4 linked regions of the Tamandua tetradactyla genome follow. The protein of the gene in region 2 purifies or fractionates together with the protein of the main gene of each other region. This does not show direct contact. Links are inferred from orthologs where the notes say so. Each region holds a gene or a part of one and is shown on either strand. Other genes may lie near its edges. The genes, in order: PRPF3, SF3B1, SNRPB and SON.

Region 1 (7,495 bases), on a different chromosome or scaffold from region 2:
GCATTCCGGCAGCTAGCAAACTAGAACAACCACCATCATCTTTGATCTTTCTATCCCATCTTTAGAGATATTTGGGCTACGGCCATTCTAACTCTTTCATGTTGGAAGGGGCTGTCACTAATATGGGGTAGGGAGATAGAACTAGCTGATGCTCTGGAGAGGCTGGGCCCTCTAGGTTTCAGGACTTATCTGGTCCGGGGACCCATCTGGAGGTTGTAAGTTTCCGGAAAGTTACCCTAGTTCATGGAACCTCTGGGAGTGACTCTTAGACCTAATTTTAAGTAAGCTTAGCCTATCCTTTGAAGGAATGTTTCATAAGGGTGAATCCCAAAATCGAGAGCTCGGCCTATCGATTTAGTTGTCCCCATTGCTTGCGAGAATATCAGAAATTCTCCAAATCAGAAAGTTGAATATTTCCCCCTTTCTCCCCAGTGCCCCAAGGAGACTTTGCAAATACTTCTTTATTCACTGCCCAAATTACTCTGGGATATATTGGGGCATCACACTAACCCGGACAAACCAACAAAATCTCACGCCCTGGGGCGGGCCGCGGTGGCTCAGCGGGCAAGAGTGCTTGCCTGCCGTGCCGGAGGACCCCGGTTCGATTCCCGGCCCCAGCCCATGTAAAAAACTAACAAACAAACAAAATATAATAAAACAAGAAAATGTTTAAAAATGTTTCCCTTTCTTCCTCCTTTCCTTCCTTCCATCTTTCCTTCCTTTCCTCCCTCTCTCTTTAAAAAAAAAAAAAAAAAAAAAAAAAAAAATCTCACGCCCTATTCAAGATTCCATGTATGCATGGTGTTCAACTAAATTGACCATACATGTTAAATTATAATGTGCTACCAAAAATTTAAATTTTGTACTAAATAAACATTTCTCCCTTTGGTCTCACACAGAACCTGAAGTTTTAAAATATGGATGATCTCATCCTTTACCCTGTATTCTGCTCTACTTTAATCCTGTCCAGATAGCTTCCTTCATATCTCTACTCAAAGTCTGATCCCTTTTTCAACTTTTTAAACAGTCCCTGTATGGGGTACTGCTGACTTTCTTAGCTTCAGAGCTCTTGAGTCTCAGGTCATACATAATCTTTTAATAGTCAAAAAGATCTGGATTCAACAGTGATCTTGTCAAGTTATTTAACATAAGTCCTTGATTTTCCTGTAAAATGGAGATAGTGGTACCTACAGGTTTGTGGTGAGGCTTAAATGAGATGATGTCTGTCAAGTACTTATTATAGTATCTCACACAGTAAGAATTCAATAAATTTTAGCAATTAATCTCTCAGCTGTGCCAATCAGAAAGCTGATCTTTTATTCCTCCTCACTCAATCCCTAGCATCCATTTAATCGCAGTCCTCTCTGGTGCTTTATGACCGCATGCCAAAACCCTGATCCCAGCTACCACCACAACTTTTCTATATATTTACAACTGCCATTTGATCAGTCCCCTACCTCATTGTCTGGTTCCATTCCTTTCACACTTTGGCCAGAATGATTATTCTAAACTGTAACACTGCTCTTGTCACTTTCATGCTTAAGCTGGTAATTGGTTCCCCATTGCTTTCAAGATAAAATCCAAAGGGGATTTTAAGGCCCTTCATGATTGAACCCAGCTTTTCTCTCTCTCCATTTGTCCCTTTCAAACACACTTTGGGATCATGGCATATACTGTTTTCTCCTTTTCCCCTGTATATCAACTTTTGGTTTGGATGTTCTCCGAGATGCCTTCCCTGATCCCTCTACCAGGTGTCCTTCTATGTATCTTGATAAGTTTACTTCTAGAATAACAGTTTATTTCTATAATCATGCTATACTGTGCTTTATTTCTTGTTTTTCTCCTTCTATTAACTTTCAGTTCCCCAGAGGCTGCATCTTCATCTTTTTTACCTCTCTAGTCCCATTACCTAGTATAATGCCCATTTAGATGCTCAATGTTTCTTGAAAGTATATAAAAAATTAGCAATGATTTATTGAATCCTACTATGTGTCAGGCATTGTACTACATGTATCTTTTATGTGATATTTAATCCTCACAGTACTCTTTTACAGTGAAAATAGTATTCTCATTGTATGATTGAGGAAACAGTCTTATAAAAATTACCCCAAGAAATCACTGCTAGTGATTGGGAACAATTGGGAAACTAAGGGTTTAAAACCATCTTGATTCCAAAAATTGTAAATAAAATCAATTTCCACAAAACTTTTCCTTATGGGGAATTGAACCCAGACTGTTAAGAGCACTGAAACAAAATTAAAGATTCATTACAACCCTGCAAAGCTGGGACTTGGGTTTTATCCCATTGTATCGTGCCTTCTTATCAGTGAAGGTGGGTTTTGGCATGTATTTCTTCAACTGTTTAAAACCAGTCATTTGATGTAGAAATTCCATGCTTCCTGGGAAATACTAATTTTCCGGCGAAACTACTATTCCAAGAAGACATCATGGAATTTTGGTTTTTGTCATTTGTAATCTAAAACATAACTGATTTTTTCCCCATTTCTCATATGAAACTGTGTCATAACTTTGGACACACTTTTTCAAACTATACTTTGCCTGCAAACATGCTTTTTGATATCAGAGATTTAGAGGATCAGAGCTCTGTTTGGAAGAAAGGGAAGAATACAAACTTCCTGATAAAATGTGGAAAGCAATACTGCCATTGCCATGTCTAACTCATTAATTGAATACTTGTTGGGTCTGGCACTATTCTAGATCCTAAGACAATATGAAACAGTTCTTGCCCTGAAGGAACTTCCGTCCTTTAGAAAGCAAAAACCAAACTTCAGCAGGCGCTGAGGCAAGCAAGACATTGCTGGAAAAGATTCATCCTTTAATTCAACAAATAATTATTAGGTACTTAATTGTGTCAGGTGCTATGGTGGACATTTAGGATATATCACTGAACAAAACAAAGATCCCTGCCCTAATGGAGTTTGCATTCTAGTAGAGGGAGTCAAACAATGAGCAATAAACAATAAGTAAATTATATAGTAATAGTAACATTTGACTAAAATTCTGAAGATGAGGAAGCAAACCATGTAGGCACCTGAAGAGCACTCTAGGAAGAAAGCAACAAGTACAAAGGCCTTGAGGTGAGATTATGCTTAGCAGTTCAAGGGGCAGCAAAATGGTCAGAACTCTGAAGCTGAATGAGTGAAGGGAAGAGCAATAATAGAGGTAAGGAGTGAGGCAGATCTTCTAGGGCATTTTACTAGAGACAATGGAAAACCACAGGATGGTTTTTAAATAGGGGAGTAATAAGATCTCTCTGATGTGTAAATATGATCACTGTGCTGTAGAAGCAAGAGAAAGGGATTCAGAGCCTACAATATTAATCCAGGGACTAATACTGTAGTAGTGGAGGTAATGAGAAGCAGGTGGATCTGTACATACTTTGAAGGTAGTGCCAGTGGAATTTGCTGATGGATTGGAGAGAAACAGGGTTCCATGATCTCTCCAAGGTTACTGGCCTGCATCACTAGAGGGATGAAATTGTCATTAACCAAGATGAGGAAGTAGGTGGGGATGGGGGGTTAGAATCAGGAGCTCAGTTTTGGTGGTAAAGTTAAGACATCTGTTATATATTTATGCAGGCTACTGGATATACTGTTTTGTTTCACGGCTTGTAGCTACCGTTTATTGAACTGCGGAAGGCACTTTTTAAACTATATTACCCTTATCCACGAATGTGATCCCCCGAGCAGCCCTATGATTTTTTTCCCCAAGTTTTATTCACACACCATACAACCCATCCAAGTGTGCAATCAATGGCTCTCGTTTGGATTTTTCAAAGTATCTTATTTTACAGGTGAGGAGAGGGGAAAAAGAAGGCTCGAGTTGCCTAATGTCACACAGTTGTGGGAGAGCTGGAGTTCAAGTCCAGGCAGTCCGGTTTTAGAACGTGTGCTCTTACTAAGTCGCTAAGCAATACTTAACTCTCACAGGGTGCAAGGCACGTGGTGGTAGGCGGTGAATAAGTATTTGTTCCGTCAATAAATGAATCAACGAAAAGGCAAGCTGGGGGTGGGGCGAGGTGTGGGCTATTTTCTCCAAAGTTCTCCTATACTCTTTTTCTTCCTGGGTGATTTCTGTGATTACTCTTAAGTTAGGGAGCGAAGGCTGAGGGAGGGGTGGGGTGGCAAATGCCAGTAATGGCTACTTATTCTACAGGGTTTTACTTTTTACCAGAAAGGCCGTGTTTGAGCTCGAACGCAGAAGCTCCACTTGCAGTTTATCGCACTTATTCTCTACGTGAGGAAAACTGCTAGCAACCCAATTTCCGCTTCGGGGAACACCAACTTTTTTGTAGCAATTTGCTTAATATTTCTCTAGCCGGGAAAACAAACCGCGGGGAACTTGAACGCAGGACCTTTCGGACCCCTCTACACATGAGGGACACCAGCAGGAACGTGGCGACTACGGCTGCGCGAACCCACAGTCCCGCCCCTCCCTCGTCACGTGCTGGGGGCCGGCGTGGCGGCGGCCGTGGCGGCAAGGACGGCGGGCCGTAAGGCGGTCCGAGGGCTTCCGGTTCCGGTGTAACGTTCGGGCTCCGTCTCAGGGGCTGAAGTTTGTGAGGTGAGTTGTAGCCCAGGGCCCAGAGGTGGCAACCTGCGGTCGGAGCGACTGGGGCCGGGGCTTGGTCACTGGGACTGTCGTAACGGGAGGGTTCAATGGGAAGGAGGCTGGAAGAAGTTTAAGGTTCCGTGGGAGAAGGGGTTGAAATGGGATTGTTGAGAGGAACAGGGCGGGGGCGGGGTGGGGATGGGGTGGGAGACTAGTAATGAGGTGAGGAGTTTGGGAAGGAAAAGGGGGGTTGGTGGTTGTCGGCTGGAGTTAAAGCCAGAAGAGGAGAGAGTAAAAATAGAAGAATGAGGATTTCCGGGGGGTCACTCGGATTCTAGCAAAGAAGAGCACGGAGTAAGGAATTCTTTCGGAAGATTGAATTCTGCAGCCTGCCCATTCAGATATCATTCTGCCTTCCTCCTTCTTCCACCCTCCCCCCACCACCACGCAGTTATTGTTGGATATTTGACTCGTGACAAAGCTAGTTACTATTTGAATATTTTAATTTTTGTCCACTAGCTGTTTCATTTGTACATTATCTTAAGAAAGATCGGTTTAAACTTGAATGCGTTTGTTAGTATAGTGCTTGGGCACCCATGATGGTACCTCGTTTATTGCTTTGTGTTTTCAAATTGCTTCCACTTTCTCGTCCATGATTCAGTTCTAGCGGACTGTATGCCCCGTTAGGGTGAGGATTCTTGTCTGTTTTATTTACTGCTGTTTGTATCTTCAGTGCCTACTACACTGATTGATAGTACTTGCTCAATGAATATTTATTGAATGAATTAAGTGCATTGTAGATATGGCAGTTTTCAGTTTAGGAGTAAACTGAGGCTCAGAGAAATTAATTAGCTTTATTCATTAACTTGCACAAGGTTGCTGGTAAAGGGCAGGGTGATGTCCAAATTCTTTAGTTTTATTTCTATCCTGTTTGAGCTCTTGTTGCCAGAGTTGTGTACCCACTATAGTCCTGAATACGCCTATTTAGAGTAATGGATATTTAACATGTAGAGATTGATAAGCCTGTTTCATTTGGGGACAGTAGGGCTTTTTCACTTAGCACCATAAATTATTTATTTAACTTGTCAGTGAGAAACATAGTCAGTTTTTAATACAACCTTCAACTTTACTTTCGTTCTTTTATTCTACTAGCTTTATTTATTTATACCAAAATTAAATTCACTATTTGACAATAGGTCTTACAGAGGGTAAACCTGCCAAGGATGTGGAAATTAATCAGACTCTGTCTTTTAGGAGAAAAGATGTCTTGAAACATCTTGAAAGATTGACTCCCAGATATATGGTACTGCTGGGAGGAGTTTAGTTTGGAAATTGAGATCAGTGTGATTTATTCTTTTAGGCACTATAGAGAAAAATCAGAGAAATAAAATGTTGTTTATGCCCATGAGAAGTTTTGAGATTTAGATAAACCAACATGTAAACATGAATAATGTTTTAAAGTAACACTAATTAGCATTAAATAACAAATACAAAGATTTTTTATTGAGAGTCCTTTATCATAGTGTTTCTCTGCTGAGCTAAAAAATAGAAGTGAAAAGGGAGAAGGTCAGAGTATATCCAGAATGAAGGTGTTCTTTTCTGAGCTGATGGATTACTCTTATCAAGTCAGAGAACGTGAGAGAGAACTGGTTATCTGGGTACAGAATTCCCACAGGGATGAATATAACTACAGAGAAATGAGACAGAACGTTCTTAAGGATTATGAGCTTTAGTACCAAATGACTTGCTTGTCATTTCTTAAGGAATGCTTATTGACATCCCTTAAGAGAAAGAAAACTTTTAATGGGTCAGGATTGGGTTAGGGAATGCATCCCCGGAAGTAGAAGAAATAGAAAAGCTGACTTCAGGATAGAGTCTGTCAGTTTAGTTTTCATGTTATACGTTTGCCAGGCCTTGTTGATAAGACAAGATTGGAAACAAAGCTAGAACTCATTTCTTAGACCAGATTATTCCCAGGGTTGGTTGACTTCTTTCACAGAGTTCATTGATCCACTGGTAATTACTGAGTTAGGTTTAAAAATCAAATGGAGAGTGGTGTGATGGTGGCTTAGTGGCAGAATTCTTGCCTGCCATGCCAGAGACCCGGGTTCGGTTCCTGGTGCCTGCCCGTGCCAAAAAAAAAAAATAATAATCAAATGGAATCTAGTTCTGCTTTGAAGTGTGGTTCTTGGGGAAAGTATTTTACTTTGAATAAACTGGAGGAACCTCCTTAAGGATTGAGAATATGGGTGGGAAAGGCTTTCCTGATGTATTAATCATTGCTCTGGGTCACTTTAACTTTTTCCTATCTTCTGTCTTAACCACTCTCCTGATTTGTTTTTAGGTGCAGTATCAAGTTCTATTTTATCTATCCTTCTACTTTTCCCAAAGAATGGCACTGTCTAAGAGGGAGCTGGATGAGCTGAAACCATGGATAGAGAAGACAGTGAAGAGGGTGCTGGGTTTCTCAGAGCCCACAGTGGTCACAGCAGCATTGAACTGTGTGGGAAAGGGCATGGATAAGAAGAAGGCAGCTGGTATGTACCTTTCTGAATCTTTTGACCTAACATTTAGGATGACCCTTTAAACATTGCTTCTAACATAACCAAAATTCTCTCTGTTGGGATCATCTGAAAAAAGGTCGGGCCACATTTTATTCCCTCCTGCTTTATATTGAAATAGCCTGAATAACTAATTTTGCTTTTGTTCTTTTGCTTACTTTCTATATATTATTTTTGGTATATTTTGAAACTCAGACTGACTCCCTAAGTTATATTTACTTAGGAAATATACTAAAGTTAGATAAATATATTAATATAGTGTCAGATTGACATCTAAACATTTAGAAGTCTTTATGAAATGCATGAAGAAAGTTGAGGGAGGTAGATTTTAATGGTAATTTTCCTACTATTTGGAATTTTGG
Region 2 (7,781 bases):
AAATGTCCAAATTAAGGCACCAGGAAGAGGTTACCTTCACTCAAGAAAGGCTGATGAAGTTCAGAGTTTCTCTCTCAATTGGAAAGGCACATGGTGAACATGGCATCTGCTAGCTTTCTCTTCAGGCTTCTTATTTCATAAAGCTCCCCCAGGGATGTGTTCCTTCTTTATCTCCAAAGGTCTTTGGTGGTGTGGGCTCTGGCTCTCATCATTTTTCTGGCTCTAAAAAAGGGACGGTCTCTAAAATGTTTCCTCTTTTAAAAAATCTAGTCACGGCCCACCTGGAATGGGTGGAGTCACATCTCTCTCTAATCAAAAGTTACCACCCACAATTGGGTGAGTCACATCTCCATGGGAACAATCAAAAGCTCCAAGTCAGCAATATTGAATGAGGATTAAAGAACAAGGCTTTTCTGGTGTCCTCCACAGATTCAAACTGGCACAGGGATTTAAAACTTAAAATGTACAGAGTTCCTATCTTGAATGATGGAAGTGTTTTGGTAATGAATGGTAGGATGGTAATACAACATTGTGAACATAATTAACAATGCTGAAATATATATCTTAATGTGGACAAATGGAGAAATATTAGGTTATGTATGGTAATAGGTCAAAATGTTTTAAAAATCCTTGAAACTGCATTATACAAATAGTGAACCCTAAGTTAAACCATGGACTATAGTTAATAGTATGACTATAAAAATATACTTTCACAATTGTAACAAATATACCATATCAGTGCAAAGTGTTAACTGTAGGGAAGATATGGTGTTTTACTTTGCTTATGCTTCTGGGAAACAATATACCAAAAATGGGTTGGCTTTTACAAAAGGAGTTTATTAAGTTACAAATTATAGTTCTAAGGCCATAAAAATGTCCAAACTAAGGCATCTAGAGAAAGATACCTTGACTCAAGAAAGGCTGATCACATCTGGAACACTTCTGTCAGCTGAGAAGGCATGTGGCTGCCATTTGATGGTGGCTTCTGATTTCAAACAGCTCCCCTGGGGGTGTTTTCTTTCTGCATCTGCAAACATCTCTTCTGTGTACATCTCTGTCTGTGTCAGCTCTGAAATTTTTCCCCCAAAATGCTTCCCTCTTAAAGGACTCCAATAAGTGGATTAAGGCCCCACCCACAACTGAGTGGGTCTCATTTCCATAGAAATAACTTAATCAAATAGATCCCACCCAGACAATAGGTCTGCCCCCACAAGACTGAATTAGAAAAAAGAACATGGCTTTTCTGGGGTACATAATCGTTTCAAACCAGCACATATGGGAATTCTATATTTTATTCATGATTACTCTATAAACCCAAAACTTCTGTAATAAAAAAATAGTGGATCAAAGACCTGAATATAAAAACTAGAACTATAAAACAGCTAGAGGAAAACAGAGGGATCCTCTTTAGCAGCTTGTGTTAGTCAATGGTTTCTTGGACTTTATACCCAAAGCATGAACAACAAAACAAATAAGTAAATGGGAACTCACCAAAATAAAAACTTTAGTGCTTCTAAGGACTTCATCATGAGAGCAAAATAACAACCTACACAATGGAAGAAAATATTTGGAAACCACATATCTGATGAGAGTTTAATATCAGACTATATACAGAAATCCTACAACTCAACAACAAAAAGACAACTCAGTTTAAAAAAATGGGCTAAAGACTTGAATAGACATTTCTCCAAGAAGATACATTAACGGCCAAAAAGCACATGAAAATATGTTCAACGTTATTAGCCATTAGGGAAAGGCAAATCAAAACTATGATGAGATACCATTCCACACTCACTAGAATGGCTACTATTTTTAAAAACATGGAAAATTACAAGTATTAGAGAGGATTCAGAGAAATAGGAAGACCCAGTCATTCATGGGAACACAAAATGTTGTAGCTGTAGTGAAGGACAATTTCGTGGTTCCTCAGAAAGTTAAGTATAGAATTACCACATGATCCAGCAATTTCTCTTCTAGGTATATACCCCAAAGAATCAAAAGAATGAACTCAAATGGATATTTGCTATTTTGGTTTCCTAAGCTGCTTTAAGTAGATATCATAAAATGGTTTGGCTTAAATGAATTTATTTGCTTATGGTTAGGGTTTGGAAACTTGTCTAAATCAAGGTATCATTAAGGTAATGTTTTCTTTATGAAGACCAGCTGCTGGTGATCCTTGGCTCCTCTGCCACATGGCAATATCTGTTAGTCTCTTCCTTCTCTTTTGAGTTTTATTGATTTCACGTTCTTGCTTCTGTAGCTCTCTCTCTCTTTTGAGAGAGAATACTTAAGAATTCTTTCTTAAGAATACTTAAGAAAGGCCAGTGGGTCCGGAATACTTCTGTCAGCCGGAAAGGCACGTGGCTGGCATCTGCTGGTCCTTGTTCTGGTTCTGTTGCTTCTGGTTCTGTTGCTTCTGGCTTCTGATGCCAGTGGTTTCCTCTCTAAGCCTGTGTGGGCCTTCACTTAGCTCCTCCGGGACACAACTCTGGTTCTGGCCTGCTTAGCATCTTGTGGGAAGGCATGTGGGGAAATCTGCTGGGCTCTTCCGGTGGCTAGGCATCTGCTCTCTCTGTCAGCATCTAAGCATCTCAAAAGATCTCTGGCTGTGTCAGCTCTGAAGCAAATATTCTTCAAGAATCTGCATCTTAGATTTCTCCAAAATGTTTTCCCTTTTAAAGGACTCTAGTAAACTAATCAAGACCCACCTTGAATGGGTGGAGTCACATCTCCATCTATTCAAAAGGCCACACCCAAACTGGCATGTCACATCTCCATGGAAACAATTCAAAGTTTCCCATACTAAACAATAGGTCTGACAAGATTGGATCAGAATTAAAACAGCTTTTCTGGGGTACCTAATAGTTTCAAACGAGCACAGATGTCATCTGTTAATTGTTAAAGTTATAAAGTTATAAAAAGGAGGGCTAGATCACTCTCTCTGACTTGTAAACAAAAAAAATCTCACCAGAGGAGACAACCCACTGTGCGTAATATCTGATTATTATATATTAATATTATTTTAAAAATGGAAAGTGAAAAGACTTGAAAAACAAACTTAACTTGTTCCTTACTATCTGAATGTTCAGTTCGCTATGTCATTGAAGATAAATTAGAGTGTCAAAAATTAGAGTGTCCTCCAGAGAAGTCTCCCTTGATCATTGGCAAAGTTTTTCAAATTTTACTATCTTATATATGTCTTTACCATACAGAAGCATCTTAAAATTTAAGAACCCAGAGAAATATGCACATAATACAAAGTGCCAGTAAACTCAGCTTCTCTCTACCTTGGAAAGATAAGGAAGGACATGGGATATCCACGTTATAGCAGCTTTTCATTTTGTTAACACTTTTTTTCTGATTATAAAAATAATAAATGCTTATGGGAAAAGCCCTAAATTTTATAAAGAAAAAAATTAGCCATGATCCCACCATTCATAAACACCTATCTGTTAATATAGTGTGGTAAATTTCTGTTGCATATATATTTTTACACGTCTGAAGTCGTCCAGCATTAACAAATTTCTTTTTTAGAAACATGAGCAATGCAATGTTCTTGTGATTCTTTTTTGTTAACATGGATGAATTATTTGTTTGCTGATTTTTGATGGATAATAACCCTTTCTCCAATTTTTCATTTATTTTTTATTATTTAAAAATATACTACTTTACATATACAAAATGATATATGTAATCTACGAATAGGTCATAGAGCATAATAATATAATGAATATTCACAGATCATTCTGTCAACTCAAGAACTTGGAATTTTACCAATAATTTGTATAAATTATACACATGCTCTTATCTCACTCGTCTGCCTCTCCCAACTATTGTTTAACCTAATAATCAATGAAAATTAAATAACTGAAAATTTTCAATCCATAAACTTAATTTTTACATTGATATTAATAAAAATCCCTTTTTTTTAAACTGAAGTTTGAATCTCTTATACAGTGAGGTAAACTGTTTCCTCTGTGTTAGCTCTAATCTGGATCCCTACTTATTTTACCAGCCTGCTTCCAGAGACTCAGCTTCCCTTCTGAGCTCTGCTTCTCCAACCCTGAAGTCCAAGGTCAGCGTGACAATACGAGGTTATACTGTTACATTCAGTCACAGTAGAAAAAAAAGATCGCTATAAGATGATCTATAAAAGTTGCTGATTTAGAAAGGACGTTTAAAATTTAAAGAAGCATTTCAACGTTGTTAACAATGACTATCAAAGTTTTTCTAAGAACCCATAAAGTTAAAAGGCTTTAAAAGCGTTTTAAGGTTCTTGCCTGCAACTTAGAAATTGTATGGTGGTGCACAACTGCTATTTTGTAACTCTAGTTTTTCTCTCATTTCTTAAGTGGGTTTAGCGACAATTTGCCTACTTGACTGCTCTGTTTTTGAGGTTCAGTAATTTGGGAGCTTATGTTGTAACGGAACTGCTACCCAAACGAGAGGCAATTATTTAAAAAAAAAAAAAAAGGAAAAAAAATGGTCTTAAATTATATCGCGAAGAATAAGACTTATGATCGTCTCCATAAGTAATTACTCGAAAAAGCTGAGACAAATGCTAAAGAAAGCTTTTCTCGGTCTCCAAGACGCCTTCTACTGAATTGGAGAAAGATCCACCATAATATTCCGTACAATATTCTTAACTGCTTTGCGGAAGGCACTTTCTCCTAGGACAAAATTACTCAATTACGATTGCGGGTCACAATAGACCCGCTTCAGGGCCCACCCTTGGCCCCTCCCACACCCACAATGCGCCTCGCTGCTCCCTGCAGGCGGCTGCTCTATCACGTGTCACCCAACCGAGCGCGCTCCCGTTTGGCGCCTGCGCAGAAAGTAACTCCCAGCTATTTTTCTCCGTGGGTGCGGCGACGAGCGGAAGTTCTTGGGAGCGCCAGTTCCGTCTGTGTGTTGGAGTGGACAAAATGGCGAAGATCGCCAAGACTCACGAAGGTAAGCCATCTTTGCTTGCTAACGGACTTCTTCCGCTACCTAGACTGCTAACAGTCTGTCTTCCTAGGTTTCTGCCTTTTCCTGTGTATGCGTGTGTGTTTGTTTTTAGTAGGAGGCCGAGTCTGCGGTTTGTGGCCTAGGTCGCCTCCAGCGATGCAGGCCTCTGCTCTGTGTAATGGCGTCCTACTTAAACATTCCAGACAAGCGCTTTGTTCCGTGTTAGGGTGCTGCTCCTGGAGCGTTGCTTCTCCTCTTTGACCAGTGGGCCTCGTTTAAACGGTCTACTAAAGAGGATTCTAGGGCAAGAGGGGATCCGGGAAATGGGCCTGGGAGTCTCGCCGTTTGGAAGTGCTGTCAGCGCAATTTATACATAGGAAGAGTCAGAAAGACATTGAAAAATGGCAACCTCTTTTATAGCAGTATTAAATTGGGTTTGGTTAAACCAAGGCCCATTACTCTTAACCTTGGATAGTATGTGTATCTGCAGGCTTCTAGGCTACTTGCTTGTTTTTTTTTGTACGAAGTGATTTGGGAATGAAATAATGATAGTACTTTCCCCTTGTTCACTTTTAGTGTATTATTGGTCTTTTTCTTTGGAAATTCGTGTTTGCGGAGCTAGAGGAACAAGAGAAAGTCGCTTTTAATTTTATTGATGATCGAAGCTTTCAAACTAGTTGATTTATGGAATACGGAGTATATGAAATTAGGAACATGTTGCTAATAGGCAGGAGTCTGTTAGTGAGTACTAAGAGCAGGTACAGATATTATAGGAAATGGGGTTCCTTTTCAGAAAAGACGTGGGAAGTTGGAGCTGCATTCCTTGATTTTTTACGTGGAATCTGGTATTTTCACTCTTCCAAGAGAGTCACTTTTATTTCACACTCTGTTTTTAGATGTGTGGCTTGGTGTTGTTAGTTTGTGAGAGTTGAAGACTACGACCATCAACTGTTTTACAGTCCAGTGGGGGAAAGAGACGTGTATCCATGTACATTCTGTTTATGAGACCAAGTGAATGCTTAACGAGAAGTACAAGTAGTCTGGGGAATCTACAGAACGGAATGAAAAGTTTATGCTTATGGTTATTTGTCCGTAGTCTTGGGAAGATCAATCAGTTTTATATTAGGGTGGCCATCTGAGCCTCAGAACATTTTGTAACAAGGCACTGTCCTGATGGGTAACCGTGTTTTGAGTAGTCTGCTATGCCAGGAAAAGTAGAGTGCAACAGAGAAATAGAAGATGAATCTGGATAGGTAAGTTGGGTCCAGTATGTAAATAGCATTCAGTTGTTGGGCTACTACAAGGAAACGAAGTCCAGCTCTCTGCAACTTAAGAAACATACTAATGAATGCTTACTATTCTTGTTATTTAGGATTTAAACACTGCTGTAGTACAGACATGTTTATAGGTATTTCTCTTGTCTTTAAAAAAACATATCTTTTGTAAGATACTGGAAAATATAAAAATGATTTTTGTTCATTCAAGAATAGATTATACAGTTGGGGCATTTTGTGGCTTTTATTACTTGTATATTGGTATCTTCATGGTAAGATAACCCTTAGGCATGAAGATTGATAAAGTTCTAGCCAGCTTTCCTGCAATTTAGAAAACCGCCTAAAAGTCTTGGTCCATGAAAGATTGTAACTCACTGACCAAAATTCCTTTTTTAGGAATATTCTTTCTATAAAATGTGAATTATCTGATGCCACAAAGAAAGTATGGAACATTCAGTTTAACGTTTGAGTACTGTTTATGTATAAGGCATTGCCTGTCACTGTGGAATATAAAAAAATAAAGATGTGTCTTCTACCTTCTAGGAGCTTGCAGTCTAATAGAGGAAGTAGCTATGTTTAAGACAAAGGGGTTTTTAATAGCAAAGCATAGTCTTTATTTAACTTCGTGCTCCCTTCATATTTTCCTGGAGAACTCTAGTTCATAGTCCATTTCTGTTTTCACTTGTTAAGCCATCTCAGATAACATTGAGTAGAATTAATTTTTGAATTATTTGTCCTACCATAGCACTCAGTATGTATCTTTAATTATATTTGAATATTCTGTTGGGTTAAGTTTTTCTCTTCCATTTGACTCAGATTGTGTACAGGAACCTTACCCTAGTATCCCAAGTATCTAGTATAAAAGGAGTGCTCAGATATTAAACCAAAATATATTTAGAGATTTGTACTGTAATTATTAAGATAGTTTCATGGGAAAGGGGCAGACACATTGGTTTGGCTGAGATAGGGGGAAAGCTGAATTTAGACATGTATTGGGAACCTCTTAATCTGAGAGTAAGAAAGGTTAGGTTAGTGTCAAATGTTAGGTTAGCATATGGGCTTTGTTTGAGTCTGGCCTCCCAGTGACCGTTAAATAAAGTGCTGTATCCCTCCTTGCCAGTCCCCATTCCCGTGTAACTGCTTACTTTTGTGTTTTTGGAAGGTAACTGGTTGTATGAAGGATGATGTAGAGGGAGTTGGAGCAACTATCTTAAGGCTACTGAGAGGAGGAGGACTTGGACTTAAACGCGACTATGATAGAAGGATTTTAGAAAGCAACTTTAAAAAAATACTTGTTTAAATTTTTGTTTTAGAGTTGTCCATAATGTTGCCTTTTAAAGGAAGATTGTATAATCTTTTCATCCTACATAATATGGATGTATTGTAAAAACAATTTTATTGTTGTGCCTTGTAATTTGTTTTTAAAGCTGTGGCTGCAACAGTAGTTTTTACTTTCATCCTGTGAGATAAATAATGTGTGTAACTTCAAGTAGATTATTTTTTGCCTTTGTACATGGCTCTTTTCATAGGCTATTACTTAACTGAGCCAAATTGATA
Region 3 (6,978 bases), on a different chromosome or scaffold from region 2:
CTGTGGCATCTGGACAAGACCTAGTAAGAGAGGACCCAGCCAGATTGGTTAGGAGAACCAATTGGTTTGGAGAACTGGGGAGTTCAAACTCAAGTAGTTTCATGTATTCTTCCTGATCTCATCACTCGTTCCACTCCAAAAAAGTCTCTGGGCCTACCCCTTCTTAGCCTTTTCATTTGACCATCCTGATACCCTGTCCCCTTCTTTGAGCTGTGACCTTTCACTCAGAGCTCACCATCATTCTTCCTCACCTTTAGTTTCAGAATTGTCTTTATCATTATGATTTTGCTGGGTTTTCTGAAAAGCAGCCGTGGATTGTGAAAAATTAATGTCAATTTTAGTATGGAAATGTTTGATTTAGTGATCTCAATGGTGTGGGGACCTGACAAAAGAGCTTGTCAAAATACTTCTACTGGAGGGTAGCAAGGCTGATACCTTGTGTAATGAGCCCTTTTGAGAGCCATCTGAGGGTCACAGAGCAGATGTGGGGAAGGGAGACAATAATCGTGAACAATCTGACATCAAGTGGTTGTGGAATCAGGTATGGTGATTCAGCTCTAACCTAAATTTAAATATTGGTGCATATTTTTCTTATATATGCAAAATAAGCATATATAAGTTTTGTATCCATTTTTTTCCTAAAAGAAAACAGGATTCTTGGCAAGCGCAAGATTCTTTCACAGTATAGTCTTTTTCTGTTAGTAAATGTCATACTGTGCTTTTTTAGTTCCTCTTCCTTCCAATATGCATAATATATATATATGGGATAAAATCCATATTCTCATTGTGTTTAGAGTGTTTTTATGTAGCCCTGTACCTTATTCTTTAATTTTAATACAGCAAATTGCTTTGGAGAATAGCCATTCTCAATCTTTTCACTTCTCCCACACAGAAGTAATGCATAAATTGACACCAGCTTTGGTTCTGAGAATTCCCTTATCTGAGGTTAGCTGAAACTGTCAGCTATTTCTTTACCACTCAAAGAGATATATAAGGAACCTTTTTAAACCAAATACAAGACCCATCTACAGACCCATTCCCAAACTTGAATATGCCCACCTAGGACCTGTCTGTATCTCCCCTCTACTCCTTGGAAATTACTGTTAAAAACCACTGCCCCTTCAAGTAGGCCAGCAGAAGAACCTGGAAACATGCCAATCTGAACTCAAATCCCACTACTTAACATTACTGTGTGAGAGTGCAAGTTTTTATAATTATTTTAAATTTCTTTTTGGTTTGCAAAGATGGTGGTACCAATCTCTCCCATCCCAGATGCTCTTCCTATCAAGACCTGGAGTATTTTTCCATTGTAACTGGTCTGGCTTTGGAATCTGATTTTATCATAAGAAGTGGCAGATGTTGCAGAATTTCTGAGGCTAGGCCTCTCTTGCTGCCCTGAGACCATCATGTGAGGATGCCTGGACCGTCTCACTGCTGGAGAATGAGAGGCCATCTGGAGAGAGAGGTTCAACTGATAGTTAGCACCAAACACCAGATGTGGGTGAGGCTACTAGGATTATCCAGCTCCAGTCAATCTGCCAAATAGTCACATGAGTGTCCCCAGGTAAGAGCAACAGAAGACTCACTATTCAACCACAGGATCATAAGATATAATTTTGTTTTAAGGCACCAGTTTGGGAAGGGGAAGTTGCTATACAGCAATAGACAACAATTTCATAGTAGTAGCTAATGGTTAATTGAATGCTTTCTCCATGCCAGACATGGCACTAGGTTTCTTAATTGCATTCTCTCATTTCATCCTTCCAGTATTGCCTGTCAAGTTGGTAATATTATCTTCATTTTACATAAGCATAAAGATGTTAATTAACACACGTAAGGTCACCCAGCACTGAGCCCATGCTTTAACTACTAGGCTATTTGCTAAACGTTTAATTCTGTTGTCCCAGACTATACTGCAACCCATCATTTTCACTTTCTATCTCCTAAGCAGCCACCATTTGACTAAATATCATACATTCAGTAGGATTTACTGCTGTCTCCTATGGACCAGAAATTGTGCTAGGGACTGAGTATAAAAGTGAATCACGGTGGTATCTTGGTATCCAAGTTAAGCTGAAAACACACATACACACTCACCCCTACCTGGAATACGGGTCAAAAACACTGAGTGCCAATACAGGGACCTCTGAGTTACTATTAAGAGCTATTTTGCCAAATACATGCTATTGCCAGGCACTCTTCTGAGCATTTAACTCTCACACCTTCTGTGGGAGGCATGTTGTTTTCTTGTGTCTGTCAACCTGTAGATGAAGAGATAAAGGCTCAGAGATGAAATGTCTTGCCCAAGGTTTCACAGCCACGAGGTGGCAGAGTCAGATCTGGAATCTAGGCCCTTCTGGCTCTTTAGCTGTTCTCTTGCCCAGAAGTCACCCTGTGTTAGAAGACATGCATCCATGCATGCATTCAAAAATATTTACTTAGCATATGCTAAGGCCAGGTAATGTTATTGGGATATAAAGCCTCCGCCCTCATGGAGCTTATCTTCTAGTGAGAAAGACAGACAATAAACCAAATAAATAAGTGTATAAAGTAACAGAGTGGTAAGTGTTGAAAGAAAAATAAAGCAGGACAAGGGAAAAGGTAGGGAAAGGCTCTCTGAGGAGGTGTGAGCAGAGACCTGAAGGAAGTGAAGACCCCAGCAATGGGAATATCTGAGGTGGGAGGGGGAGGGCAAAGCCCCTGAGACTCAAGATTTCCTTGCTGGGTTTGAGGAACAGCAGGGAGACCAGTGTGGCTGGAGCTTGATAAATGAGGGGAAAGTGGAAGGAGATGAAGTTGTAGAGCAAGGCAGCAGGATTTCATTGCACATGTACTGGGAAGTCATTTGGAAGTGGAGAGCAGGGCAATGAAATAATCTGATAGAATCCCAGTTTATCATAGAAGGATTCCTGAGGCTGCTGTGAAAGCAGAGAGACCAGTTAGGGGGGCTCATTCAGCGATCCAAGATTGATGATAATGGCTAGGGCTGTGGCGGTAGCAGTGGAGGGAGTGAGGAGAGTCAGATGCAAGACATTTCGAAGACAGAGCTCACAGGATTTGCTGATGGACTGATTATGAGGTGGGAGAGAAAGAGAGGAGTCAAAGATGCTTTCAAGTTTGTCATTTTGATTTTTTAACCTAAGCAATTGTGTGAATGGTGGTGTTGCCTCTTGTGAGATGGGAGGCATGTAAGAATTAAGAATTAGAATTCTTAATTCTAGGAAGAGAGGATAGAATTAAGAATTCAATTTTCAAAATTTTAAACTTAATATCCATATTAGGCATCCATATCAAACAAGAGGCTGGATATAAAAGACCCAAAGTTAAATGAAGGGACCAGCGTTAGAGGAATACACTTGAAAGTCATCAGTCTTGGGACTGCATGAGAGTCATTCATTCAACAACAGTTATTGAGCTCTTATTTTGTGCTAAGCAGTGCTCTAGGCACTGCCAAAGAGAACAATACACAAAGAAACCCCCTACCCTCACAGAGCTTATGTTCTAATGGGGGTGGGTAAGCTAAGTAACAAAAATATATAGTATGTTAGATGGCAATAAATGCTAAGGAGAAAAATAAGGCAGAGGTGATGGGTGGAAAGGTATTTTTAAACAGGTTGGCCCAGGAAGTCCTTACTGACAAAATTTTCTTTGAGCTTAAGCGTGAAGGATGTTTGGGCATGTGCTGACGTACATGCCCCCTACTAGGCCTGTGGGATGAGCATCCCTGGCAGCCGCAACAGCAAATGTAAAGGCAAGAGAACGTGAAGCAAATTCACGGAAAAGGCAGAGAAGGTGTGTCTGGAGAAGGGAGAGGTAGGAAGAATCTATTACGTAAAGAGAAGGGGAAGGCAGATCGAACAGGAACTTCTCAAAGGTTCTCCGAGAAGTCCAAAGCTTGAAGCCCCGCCCCCGTCCGGAACGCGCGGCGCAGCACGGGAGCCGGAACTCAGCCACCTGGTACCGGGACCGGAAGTGCATTTCTACCCGGCCGCATTTTAGTAACGGCTCCATTTCCTGTAGCGGCGGCGGGAATCGGATCGCTGTCGGGCGTCTAGGCCTCTGCAGAGGCCAATCCGGCGGGAATCGGGACCATCGGGAACCGCCACCATGGTGAGGGGGCGCGGGCCGGCGGCGCGAGAGTCTCCGAGTCTGTATTGGAGTGAGGGCCGCGGCTGCGCGGGGGGAAGAAGTCATGGGTTGGATCTGCTAATGGCGGTGAAGGCCCGAGCCGCGGCCGCTGGGACCGGGTAGAGGCGACCTGGAGCCTGCAGTTCGGCGTGGTGGGGAGTGGAAAGTTGGAACCCAGGAATGCAGGGTGGGGGGGAGCGTGTAACCGCTTCTCCCGAAACCGCTATAGCTACAGTGCCTGGGACTTGGTAGCCACTAAGTAAACTTGCTGCATAAGTATATGTCCGGGCTTTCGGCGCCGGCACCAGGAGCCGGAGGTGGGCCAGGGAGGACCGCGGAAAAGGCTCAGACTTGTGAAAGAGGGTGAGGGGCGGAGACCGAGTTGCGGCGTCCGGTGTGGGGTAGGGCGGGGAGTTGTGGCCCGAAACAAAAGATACTTCCCGGGAGACGTGGATGGGGAAGAGGGAACGGGAGAGTGAATGAGATTATTTGGAGGAGTTCAACTCACTTATTTAGTATATCTGTACTGAGTGTCTGACTTCTCAGGTTCTGGGGCTACAAATTGAAATGTGTCACCGAGTTCGCATATCCTTGGGGACACGGATAATAAATAATCATAACACAGTGTAACTAGTTCAGCGTTAGGCAAAAGTAACGGCGCAGGTTGATGCGGGGTAAGAATGCTTTCGGGAATGGATGATTCCTGAGCAGAGTCCTAAAAGATTTGTCAGAATCTTTTCCAGCAGAAGATGGAAGGAAATACTATATAGACTGGGAATTGCAAGAGCAAAGGCATGTAGGGTAGCATAGTTAAAAGTTACTGGGGGTTGGGGCGGGGCGGGAGAGGGGAGGAGGAAAAGGAAGGAAGAGGTAGAAGATGAGACTGGAGGACGTGGAAGGAGCCTGGTTACTAAAGGCCTTCGTGCTGCTTTATTCTGTTGGTGATGGGCATGTCATTGAAGGATTTTAACTAGCAAAATGACTAGACTCTGTGTTTAGAAAGATTACTCTAGCTGTTTTGTATTGGGTGAGATTTGGAAGCAGGGAAACCTGCTCGGTTACTGTTTGGAGAGTTGGTTAAATGAATAATCACTGGATTCAGGCCGACTGGGTTCTAACAGCTTCCCAGCTGTGAGACAAGGCAAGTTACCATAACCTCTCCTAGCCTCGATGGCCTCATCTGTAAAGTAGAAACAATAAGGGGATCATTTTGAGGATTAAATAAATTGACAGATATTTAGTGCTTATCAAGCATGTAATACACAGTGAACACCCAATAAGAATTAACTGTTAGAAGGCTGGTGAATGTTTCCATAAAGGTTTAGCTCCTTGTGATTAGAACCAGTTGAAAAGGTTATGTATGGGAGACAGACCCATATAACCAGGGGTCTCCCAGGTGGCACAGTACCTTGGTGGAGTCAAGGCTCTGAACCATGCATTTGTAAGAAGGTTCAGGACGTTGTCCTGGTGTGGGTTCAGGTAAACAGCAAGCACAGTGCCCACGACAAGAAGACACCCAATAAATAGGATGACTTCAGACTTGCCCCACATCAGACTGATGGGAGACAGATACCCAGATCAAATACCAGGTCATTTGTTTCTTGAAAGAAATCTGGAGGTCACGTTAAAAAGCAGAAATTTGTTGGGTTAATTTAGAAATAAAGTGTAGCAAGTTACATATTCTCAAAGGTCATTATGTGCTCAAATAGATTAGTGCTTTGGCTACCAGAAAATTTCCCTCTCTCAGAAGCACTTGGGGATTTCATACTCCTAACCTCCACGCTGATGAACTCCTTAGTGATAAGTTTCTTGTTGATTGGATTTCAGCCTTTTTATCACCAGTCCTATTCCAACTCTTTACTCTTTTTTTTTTTTTTTCTGGATGGGCAGGTTCCAGGAATTGCACCCGTGCCTCTAGCATGGTAGGCAAGAATTCTGCCACTGAGCCACTGTTACACTGCCCTCTCTGTCTTTTTAATCATATGGGTGTTCCATAGCACTTGGGTCAAGTCTATAATCTGCACAGTGGCAGATTATTAATCTCATGATGAGTAGATTTGATTGGTTTGGGCAATCCTGTACTCTAACTCCTGAAACTCTGATAACAATAATGCAGTATGAGAAAGATTAACTTTGAGGGGAGAATAGCAAAGCAGTGGGCATAGGTCAGGGCTGAAAACGGGGGTAAGATGGGAGAATTCAGGGAAAGGTCTATGAGTAGCTGGCAGCTGAGAATCTATTGAGAAACATAGGTGCATAGAAAAGAAGGCCTGACCCAGCTTCAGGAAGGACCAGGACCAAATGGGTGGAAAAGAGCTTGAATCTCATCCCCATTGATTTCTCCCTGCAGACTGTGGGCAAGAGCAGCAAGATGCTGCAGCACATCGACTACAGGATGAGGTGCATCCTACAAGATGGCCGCATCTTCATTGGCACCTTCAAGGCTTTTGACAAGCATATGAACTTGATTCTCTGTGACTGTGATGAGTTCAGGAAGATCAAGTAAGGAGGGGGCTGTGGGGCAGGGGGAGGTTGAGGCGGAGGACATTGGATGGGTGGGCCAAGTGACAGGTGCTGCTATAACTTGCCAGTTCCTCTCTTCCTGCGTTCACATTTTAGAGGGCAGACTTAAATGGGGTTATTGGACACTAAGAAATCTCCTTCCTTAGCGCCCAGCAAGCCTGAGTTCTAGTCTAGCAAAATAAAAGTTGTGAGGAGGGCTGCTAGGTTTTTGTTTCTCTGACCTTGTATGCCCCTGAGTACTGGGGTAAAGGGCTGTCGTGTTCTCCCTACAGGTGTGTAAGGGGGGAGAGCTTGATTTTCTGGCCTCATTGCCTATTTGTAAAGCTG
Region 4 (7,606 bases), on a different chromosome or scaffold from region 2:
CTAGGCACTGTGGACACAAAGCAAAATAAGAGAGGTAGTTCTGTCCTCATGCAGCTTACATTCTCATGGGGAAATGGGAGATAGGAAACAAGTAAGAAAACAAATAGTAAAAATAAATACAGACAGTGGTTCAGGAAGGAAAACCAATGAAATGGGGTGGAGACTTGTTTAGTTGGAAACTTTAGGAAAGGCCTCCTTAAGAAGGTAATATTTAAGTTGCGACTTGAATAATGAGGCATTAACCATGCCAGTGGGTAGGAACAGATGCCAGTCCAACGCAGCTCTGTTGGGGAAATTGGCTTGACAGTAGGGATCGAGCACAGTGAAAAGAAAAAAAAAGGACATAAACGATCAGGCTACAAAGGCAGGCCGAAGCCAGATCCCAAAAGGCTTTGTATGGAACCAAAGGAATTAGGGTTTTATTCTAAGGGCTAAGGGAAGCTACTCAAGAGTTTAGGGTAATACATGAACTGATCATTTTTCCAGCAGAAGAAACAAAGGCTGAGATCTATTATGGAGTTACAATTGCCAGGACTTACATTTGACAGCACTGTCCATCTCTGCATTAATGATGTGATCGAAATATACATCAACATGTTTTTAATCTATATTAGGCACTTATTAATTTCTCAGTGGATATATTTTATAAGGCATAGGCCTAAAATAATTTCAGATAAGGAAATGTAGCATTTAGAATAGGACACCTCATTTCTACTATAGGGAAGTATTCAAATGACCACATAAATTCTGAGTTTAGAAAAGCAATTCAGACAAAACGAAGAACTTGAACAGCAACCTGGATATGGTTATCAGTTTATCGTTAGCAAATAACAGTTACTTCCCACTTTAAAACATGTTACCAGTATTTGAAATCTTTCCAGAGCACGAAGTGCCTGCATTTCCTGGGGCGACCAACACTTGCTTGACGTGGTGAGACTGTGCAAGTTTCCAGGCCAGTGTATGTTCCCTTCCTCCACTGCCAATTATCAGCACACGGGCTGACATGGCTGTCTGCAAAGCAGGAATTCAAAAGGCAAATGAAAACTGCAGAAAGAAAACCAGAGCTAACATTCAGAATGCACACACTTTAGAAATCATAAAATTTCTAAATCTGATGTTAAGTAGTAGTTTGTACTCACAAAAATGACATTTTAGTCCAGAGATTCATTTTTGAATAAAAAATTGGGAGGTGAGATAAATGACAGTACTAACAACTGCAAAGGAAGTATTTTAAAAATGAGATAGACTGGCCTAACGAACTTAAGTTAGGGAGTGAAATGGGGTTTTACCTCCTTACCTAAGAACAATCTTACTTCTTCGGGATTCAATTTTAGAAAATTTAATAATCATCAAGCCACAGTTTAGAAAAACAAATGTTGATATTTTAGACACAAAATTTAAAAACCATTTTTAACCCTCGAAATCTTCCAATAGTTATCATTGACAGAAAAATATTTAAGACTGGAGTAGGCAAACTTTTTCTGCAAAGGGCCAGTAGTGAATATTTTCAGGTTTAGGGGCTGTAAGGTCTTTGTTCAACTACTCAACTCTACTATGGTATCATAAAAGTAGTCTTAGCCTTAAGTAAATGAACAAGCATGGCTATGCTCCCCTAGAACTTAATTCTACATAAACAGGCAAGCCAAAATGAGGTTGTAGTTTACCTATTCTGGCTCTAAGCAATGGGAAGCCATCAGAAATTAAAAACGAATAATCAAGACTGTTTCAATAAAACTTTACTTATGGACTCTGAAATTTGAATTTCATGTGTCATTAAAATCAACATTCTTTTCTTCTAATCATTTAAAGATGTAAAAACCATTTTGAGCTTGACGGCTGTACAAAAAGGTTGGTGGACAGGACTTCTCACCTGAGTCATAGTTTGCTGACCCATGATTTAAGAAATTAGTGCTATATGTTAGGAAATTGGCAGAGAAGGCAAAAATCAAATTTGAACCCCTTTCACTTCAGTTATCTGCCCAGAATGGACATGAACGCTCCCTTCTCTACTCCAGGGAGTGACACTGGCTAAGCTCTATCTGTAATTGTTTCCTCACATCTTAAAGGACAGCAATTACGACAACTTGCCTTACAATGCTATATAAGGATTTAATTGAAATGACATGTATAATCAAATTAGTATAATCTCTGGCACTCAGCAACACAGAATTGTGGCACTGTATTTTTTCTGAAGCCATTTAATTATGCAGAAGGCAAATTCATATCAGAAAAACAGAAAACTGAAATCAACTTACTATGATATGCTAAAATTATATATCTACAGAAAAATCTAAGTTGATACTATAAAAACTAATATTTTCTTGTGTGCATTTACCACGTGTCAGGCACTATTATAAATGCTTTTCATGAATTACCTCACGTCAATTTCACAAGGTTTATATGAGGTAACCATTAGCATCTTCATTCTACAGATGAGGAACTGCGAGGTTCAGTGAGGGTAAGTAATCTATAGAGGACACACAAATTAAGGATTGAAGCCTGGAAACCAACTGAAGCAAAGTTTAAAAACATTTTTATTGTGGTAATATAGTTAACATAATATTTTCCATTTTAACCAATTTTAAGTGTAGAACCTGCGGCACTAATTACACTTAAAATTTTATGCTACCATAACCATCATACATTATCAGAAGTTTGTTGTCACCCAAAACAGAAACTCCACATTCCCCTGGTAACCTCAAATCTACTTCCTGTCTTTATGAATTGGCAAATTCTAGATATTTCATGTAAGTGCAACCATACAACGTCTGTTTTTTGAGTGTATGGCTTGTTTCATTTAACACGATTTCTAGACTCATTCAGGAAATTTAAGCAATTTTGCTTCAGATGCTCTAACAACTGAGATGGTGACCACTGAAAATTTGAGGAAGAAAAATTCTATATTATAGTTTCAGAAGGAGAGAAAAGTAATTTTAGTTTAATGGAAAACATTGACATTTCACTTGCCACATATAATAAGACATCTGAAATAAACATGTATTTAAATCTAGATAAAATATCATATTTAGTTTAAATGAGAGATGCAGTGAAGGAAAACTTTGCTAGTTACTAAAAAGTTGGTCACTGAAACAGCCTGATTCCAGAGTCAAGGGTATATACCTCGATTTGGGTTGAACTTCTGCCCCTTCCTACCTGGGAGACGTGAGTGACTTAAATAAGCAAGATTCTTGAGTCTCAGTCACCTTATATCTAAAATAGAAACTTACTAGAAGAGAAGAGTAAGAGAGCTAGGAAGTTATTGCATAGGATCTGACAAATATTACAAAGAAGAAACCAATTACATAGGTAGAGTAAATAATCACTAGTGTACATAACGGGGAAATACGGCAAAAAACATCAACTTACTCTTATGGCCTAAAAAAAGCATAAAGACACAAAAAGATAAAGCCCTCACATCGCAGAAAGTAGGAAAAGTGATAGATCAAATGTAAACCTCTGTTAATAGTAATAAGTGAAAAGCACATGGCCAGACCCACCCAATGCATTTTTTTAACAATGCGTTTTAAAATGATGAAAACGTCTACAGCCAAGCCAGTTTCTACAGCTTCACTTCTTAATAGTAAATTTCCAAATCAAAGCACAAGTGCAGTTTACCTAAAAACGGAGTGAGCTTACGCACCGACACAAAAACGTCCCGCGCTGCCGCCTCGCACACTCGCCGGCGTGCTGAGCCCGGGCGCACGCCGTGGCGGAAGTTGGCGGAGCAGGATCCGCCCCGCGCGCTCCCCCGCCCCGCCTCGCCCCTCTTGGTCGGCCAGGCCCAGGGTCCCCAGTGCAAGGTAATCAAGTGTGGTCCCCTCCCTCGGGCGCGGCCTAAGCTCTGACCAATGCCACCAAGCCATCACAGGCTTATCATGTAATACTGTAACATTGAGTGCCACGTAACGTCTCCATTCCTCTCCGAGTGCCTCCTGAGGTCTGAGGAGGGGAAACCTCCTGAACGCTAAACCAATGAGTAGCTCACTGTATGTTGCTATCGAGAGTCTGGACTGCCCAGTTACCGCGAAGTCTCGTCACACTGACTCCTAACGAGGCTGGAATGTATCAGACTCTAAAAACAGGTAGCTCAGGACCTCTGCCCTATTGCTAAGAAATTGAGGCCGATTATAGCATGCAACGAGAGAGAGTCGGGGTAAAAACACGTTCTAATCATGCTTCAGGGGGGTGGGGGCTGAGTAGTTCTTTCCCGGATGTATCCTTCTGACAGAACTGAACTTGGCGCCCCCGTGACGCTTGGAGGCCCTTTGTCAAGAACACTGTATTGCTTTTTGTTCCTCCATTTCACTGCCATAAATTTCGGGCGTTCAGTCGCTACACGAGGCCTATTAAGCCCACTAAAGAATAATGGGACTGACAACCTCAGCCGACACATTCGCCTCAAAACAGGCTTCTCCTGTAATGGCGCCTGCGTCAGACACTAACATGGCGGACGCGATCGTGCGCGGCGCAAACGTCAGCAGCTCTACCCCAGCCGCTCAGAAACAGTGGAGGAGAGCGGAGCCGTGCTCGTTCATTGGCTCTGCGTCGGAGCGCGCCCGTCTGGACGCTCCCACAGGAGCCAATCAGAGGGGCGAGAGACGGAACTGGCCGCTGCGCCGCTTCCCGAGGCATGCTGGGAGCCTGGAGGACTAGCGAGGAGGAGTTGAGAGAACGGAGCGGACGCCATGGCGACCAACATCGAGCAGATCTTTAGGTCTTTCGTGGTCAGTAAATTCCGGGAAATTCAACAGGAGCTGTCCAGGTAAACGCTTCCCAGACTTTTCTGTTCCAAAGGGACCGCTAGGGCCCGATGTAGCTTTTCACGGCACCTTTCTTCAGAGACGCCGTCGTTCGTCTGCTCAGGCGCCGCTACGGCCCCGCCTGGGCCTGGGATCCATTTTCCGCCGCCCCCCCATCCCGTCTCTCCTTTTCCCGCGGGGAACTTCACCCTTTCTTAGGTATCCTTAGACTCCTTCGTCGAGAGCCCTGTTAAGATGTTCGCTCTTCTCTTTGGGTTGGTCATCCCTTACCCTTTAGCAACTTGGAGGCCGGGTTGTCCACTAGGGACGGGCCTAGTTTTTTTCTCAGCTCCTCCTCCGCTGCCGCGTTTCCCCTCCCCCTCTCCGCCGATTTCGCCAGCCGGTGTCTAGGACCGGAAAGGGTCTCTAACGGCCGTTTTTTGGTTTATCTTAAATCCACGTTATTATTTCAAGCTTCGGACCGTTTAGGGGCCGGGATGCACTAGTTAGGTTATACGGACCTTAGTGTCCTGTGGCTTCCACCAGGCAACAGGGGATAGAGATCTACATTAAAATAGCTCAGATTAGTTCGTTAGCTATTTTGTCAAAATATCCGGGACGAGGGTGGTTAGGGGACTTTGAAATACCAGTAATTTCTTAAATTTTAGCGAATTGCAGGCAGGTTTTGTGTGTAGATTTAGTTTTTCTTACTACTCCATTCTTGTTGACATATTTGACCTACGCGGTGCTTTGCAATTGCCGTTTAGACTTTAATTGCACTTGGTTTCACGAAATTTGAAGGGTAAGCGATTTCCAGAGAAGTGGTTGTTTATTCAGAGAGGAAAACAGCGTGGGTCATGTTCAGTGGTTGTCTTTTAATACTTTCGCTTTGTATAAAATACTTATTTTTTCAAAGTATAGTTGTGGAAAGATCTTGAATAGTTGTTCTGAGTGTATTTTTGCTAATTATATTTCTAAGGTTGAGAACAAGAGCAGTATGTGAATTTGAAAATCGGCCAAAAACGTAACTGTAAATTAAGTGCCCAGATGAATTTAGGATTATTGAGGCTGTTTTTATTTTTGCAGAATTATATTGTTTTTAAAGTGAAAATGTGTCTATTCATAACACTGCGTCTTAAGTGGTATTCTTAGGATGAGGAGAGAAGAGGACCTAAGGAAATAGAATTTCAATAACTTTTTATAGTAGCATACAATAAGTCCTTGTGTTTCCTTAGTTTAATTGGTCGTTTTTGTAGTTTTAAAAAAGTCAGTTTTTCTATTGGAATGTGTTTTATTGTAGAAAATTGAGAAAACAAATGAGAAAGTGAAAATCGCATAGTTATTTCTGTTCTTTCATTTTTTCCTTTCCATATATATAAAGATATATTTGTTTTGAGAAGTCCCATCATCTTGAATTGTGGGTTTTTCATCTAGTGAATTGTGAACAAGTTTCTCCTTTATCACAGTCTCAGTATTTTGCAACATTTTTCATCACTGCATAGAATTGTGTTGTAGGGATATATTGTTGGGTATTTAGTTGTTCAAGATTTTCATGAGTTCAAAGTAATTGCAGTTAACATCCTGGTATCTTTCTCTTTGACACTGTCATGGTTATTTCCGTATAGACTGACCCCATCCTATTTTTTTTTGTTTGTTTAAGTGTTGCGTTCTCTGATTTTTAGATCCTGGTAATTGCGTATAAATACTTGGGCATAGTGTGAAATTAAGTGATTCGGGAAGAAAGAAAGCATTTTGTTATTAGAGGAATATGCAGTTTCCACTCAAACAACATGTATTGCATTATCAGTCTAAAAACGAATTTTGGATTATTTGCCATTTCACTGGGTCCCCCACTCCATCTGCTTTTACATGCATCCTGTAGGTAATGAGACTGACATGAAGATACTTCAGATATGCTCTGTTATTATTCTAGAGAGACAGTGGCTAAGAGTCAGCCCTGGTTTTGAATACCAACTTCACCTTTGAAAGTCGTGTGACCTTTGGTCAAATTTCTCCTCTCATTTTCTTCATTTCTCACATCAGGAGAATGCTGGTCTTCGAGGTTTGTTAGGGTTAAATGAGTTTAAAAATGTAGAACAGCGAGATACATCCTACTTAGCAGTCAGTAAATGTTAATTATTATTATTACATGATTTATTATTTTGGAAAACCAAATGTTCCTTAACATCTAATTACCTACTGATATTTTGTATTTTTTGATTCAGGACTTTTGTCAGGTATAGAAGCATAATTGTTTTATTTTTAACTAAAATTGAAGTTAAATAAATATTGAAAGTGTTGAAACTATTTGATTTTTCACAATTGTGTAAATTTACACAAATGGTAAAAATGGCTAGGTAAATGGCATATTCTTAGGGCAAAATGCCCTTTGGCCCTTAGATTGAAAACATAAACCCATTTGCTGTTAGTCTAATTAATCGTCATTTGTTTTATGTGACTTTTAAACACCATTATTATTTTTTTAATGCCAGGATTTTTGATAATTGGGTGAAAGTTAAATGTATTTATTTTTCTTTTTAAACTTCCTGGCATTTCAGAAACAGTTTAAACCTAACCAAAGACTGTAAGTAAGTCACCCTTTTTACTCAGTGTGCCCATGACCAACTTTGTGTTTCATGATGTTGGTGGTGATTGTGATTCATGCACAGGTGTGGCTTTATTGTTGTGATAGTTTTTAGTGTGATGTTCAAAAGTTAATATTTTTCTTTGAACTTTTGATTTGGCTTTTAATAATTTTTCTCCCTTGATAGAAATAGACAGGTAAACCAAAAGCCTCAGTGTAGATTTCTAGGGGTTTTGTATTTAAAAAAATAGGTGAACCTAGAAACTTTTTAAATTACTTTTTC

What was found.
Region 1: the proteins of SF3B1 (region 2) and PRPF3 purify together in Homo sapiens (co-immunoprecipitation; 3 studies listed by BioGRID and IntAct, with this or other methods). This does not show direct contact. The link is inferred for Tamandua tetradactyla from reciprocal best matches to the Homo sapiens genes SF3B1 and PRPF3.
Region 3: the proteins of SF3B1 (region 2) and SNRPB purify together in Homo sapiens (co-immunoprecipitation; 4 studies listed by BioGRID and IntAct, with this or other methods). This does not show direct contact. The link is inferred for Tamandua tetradactyla from reciprocal best matches to the Homo sapiens genes SF3B1 and SNRPB.
Region 4: the proteins of SF3B1 (region 2) and SON purify together in Homo sapiens (co-immunoprecipitation; 3 studies listed by BioGRID and IntAct, with this or other methods). This does not show direct contact. The link is inferred for Tamandua tetradactyla from reciprocal best matches to the Homo sapiens genes SF3B1 and SON.

Annotation. Positions count from the first base shown.
Region 1 is NC_135330.1:5,492,087-5,499,581, reverse strand, and holds the start of PRPF3 (U4/U6 small nuclear ribonucleoprotein Prp3), read left to right. Parts: upstream 1-4,476; 5' UTR 4,477-4,584; intron 4,585-4,600; exon of another isoform or gene 4,601-4,707; intron 4,708-6,916; 5' UTR 6,917-6,964; coding exon 6,965-7,109; intron 7,110-7,495. UniProt on the Homo sapiens protein: Plays a role in pre-mRNA splicing as component of the U4/U6-U5 tri-snRNP complex that is involved in spliceosome assembly, and as component of the precatalytic spliceosome (spliceosome B complex).
Region 2 is NC_135329.1:171,669,640-171,677,420, reverse strand, and holds the start of SF3B1 (splicing factor 3B subunit 1), read left to right. Parts: upstream 1-4,777; 5' UTR 4,778-4,925; coding exon 4,926-4,953; intron 4,954-7,781. UniProt on the Homo sapiens protein: Component of the 17S U2 SnRNP complex of the spliceosome, a large ribonucleoprotein complex that removes introns from transcribed pre-mRNAs.
Region 3 is NC_135327.1:24,251,607-24,258,584, reverse strand, and holds the start of SNRPB (small nuclear ribonucleoprotein-associated proteins B and B'), read left to right. Parts: upstream 1-3,967; 5' UTR 3,968-4,107; coding exon 4,108-4,110; intron 4,111-6,478; coding exon 6,479-6,630; intron 6,631-6,978. UniProt on the Homo sapiens protein: Plays a role in pre-mRNA splicing as a core component of the spliceosomal U1, U2, U4 and U5 small nuclear ribonucleoproteins (snRNPs), the building blocks of the spliceosome.
Region 4 is NC_135336.1:93,913,214-93,920,819, forward strand, and holds the start of SON (protein SON), read left to right. Parts: upstream 1-4,604; 5' UTR 4,605-4,685; coding exon 4,686-4,762; intron 4,763-7,606. UniProt on the Homo sapiens protein: RNA-binding protein that acts as a mRNA splicing cofactor by promoting efficient splicing of transcripts that possess weak splice sites.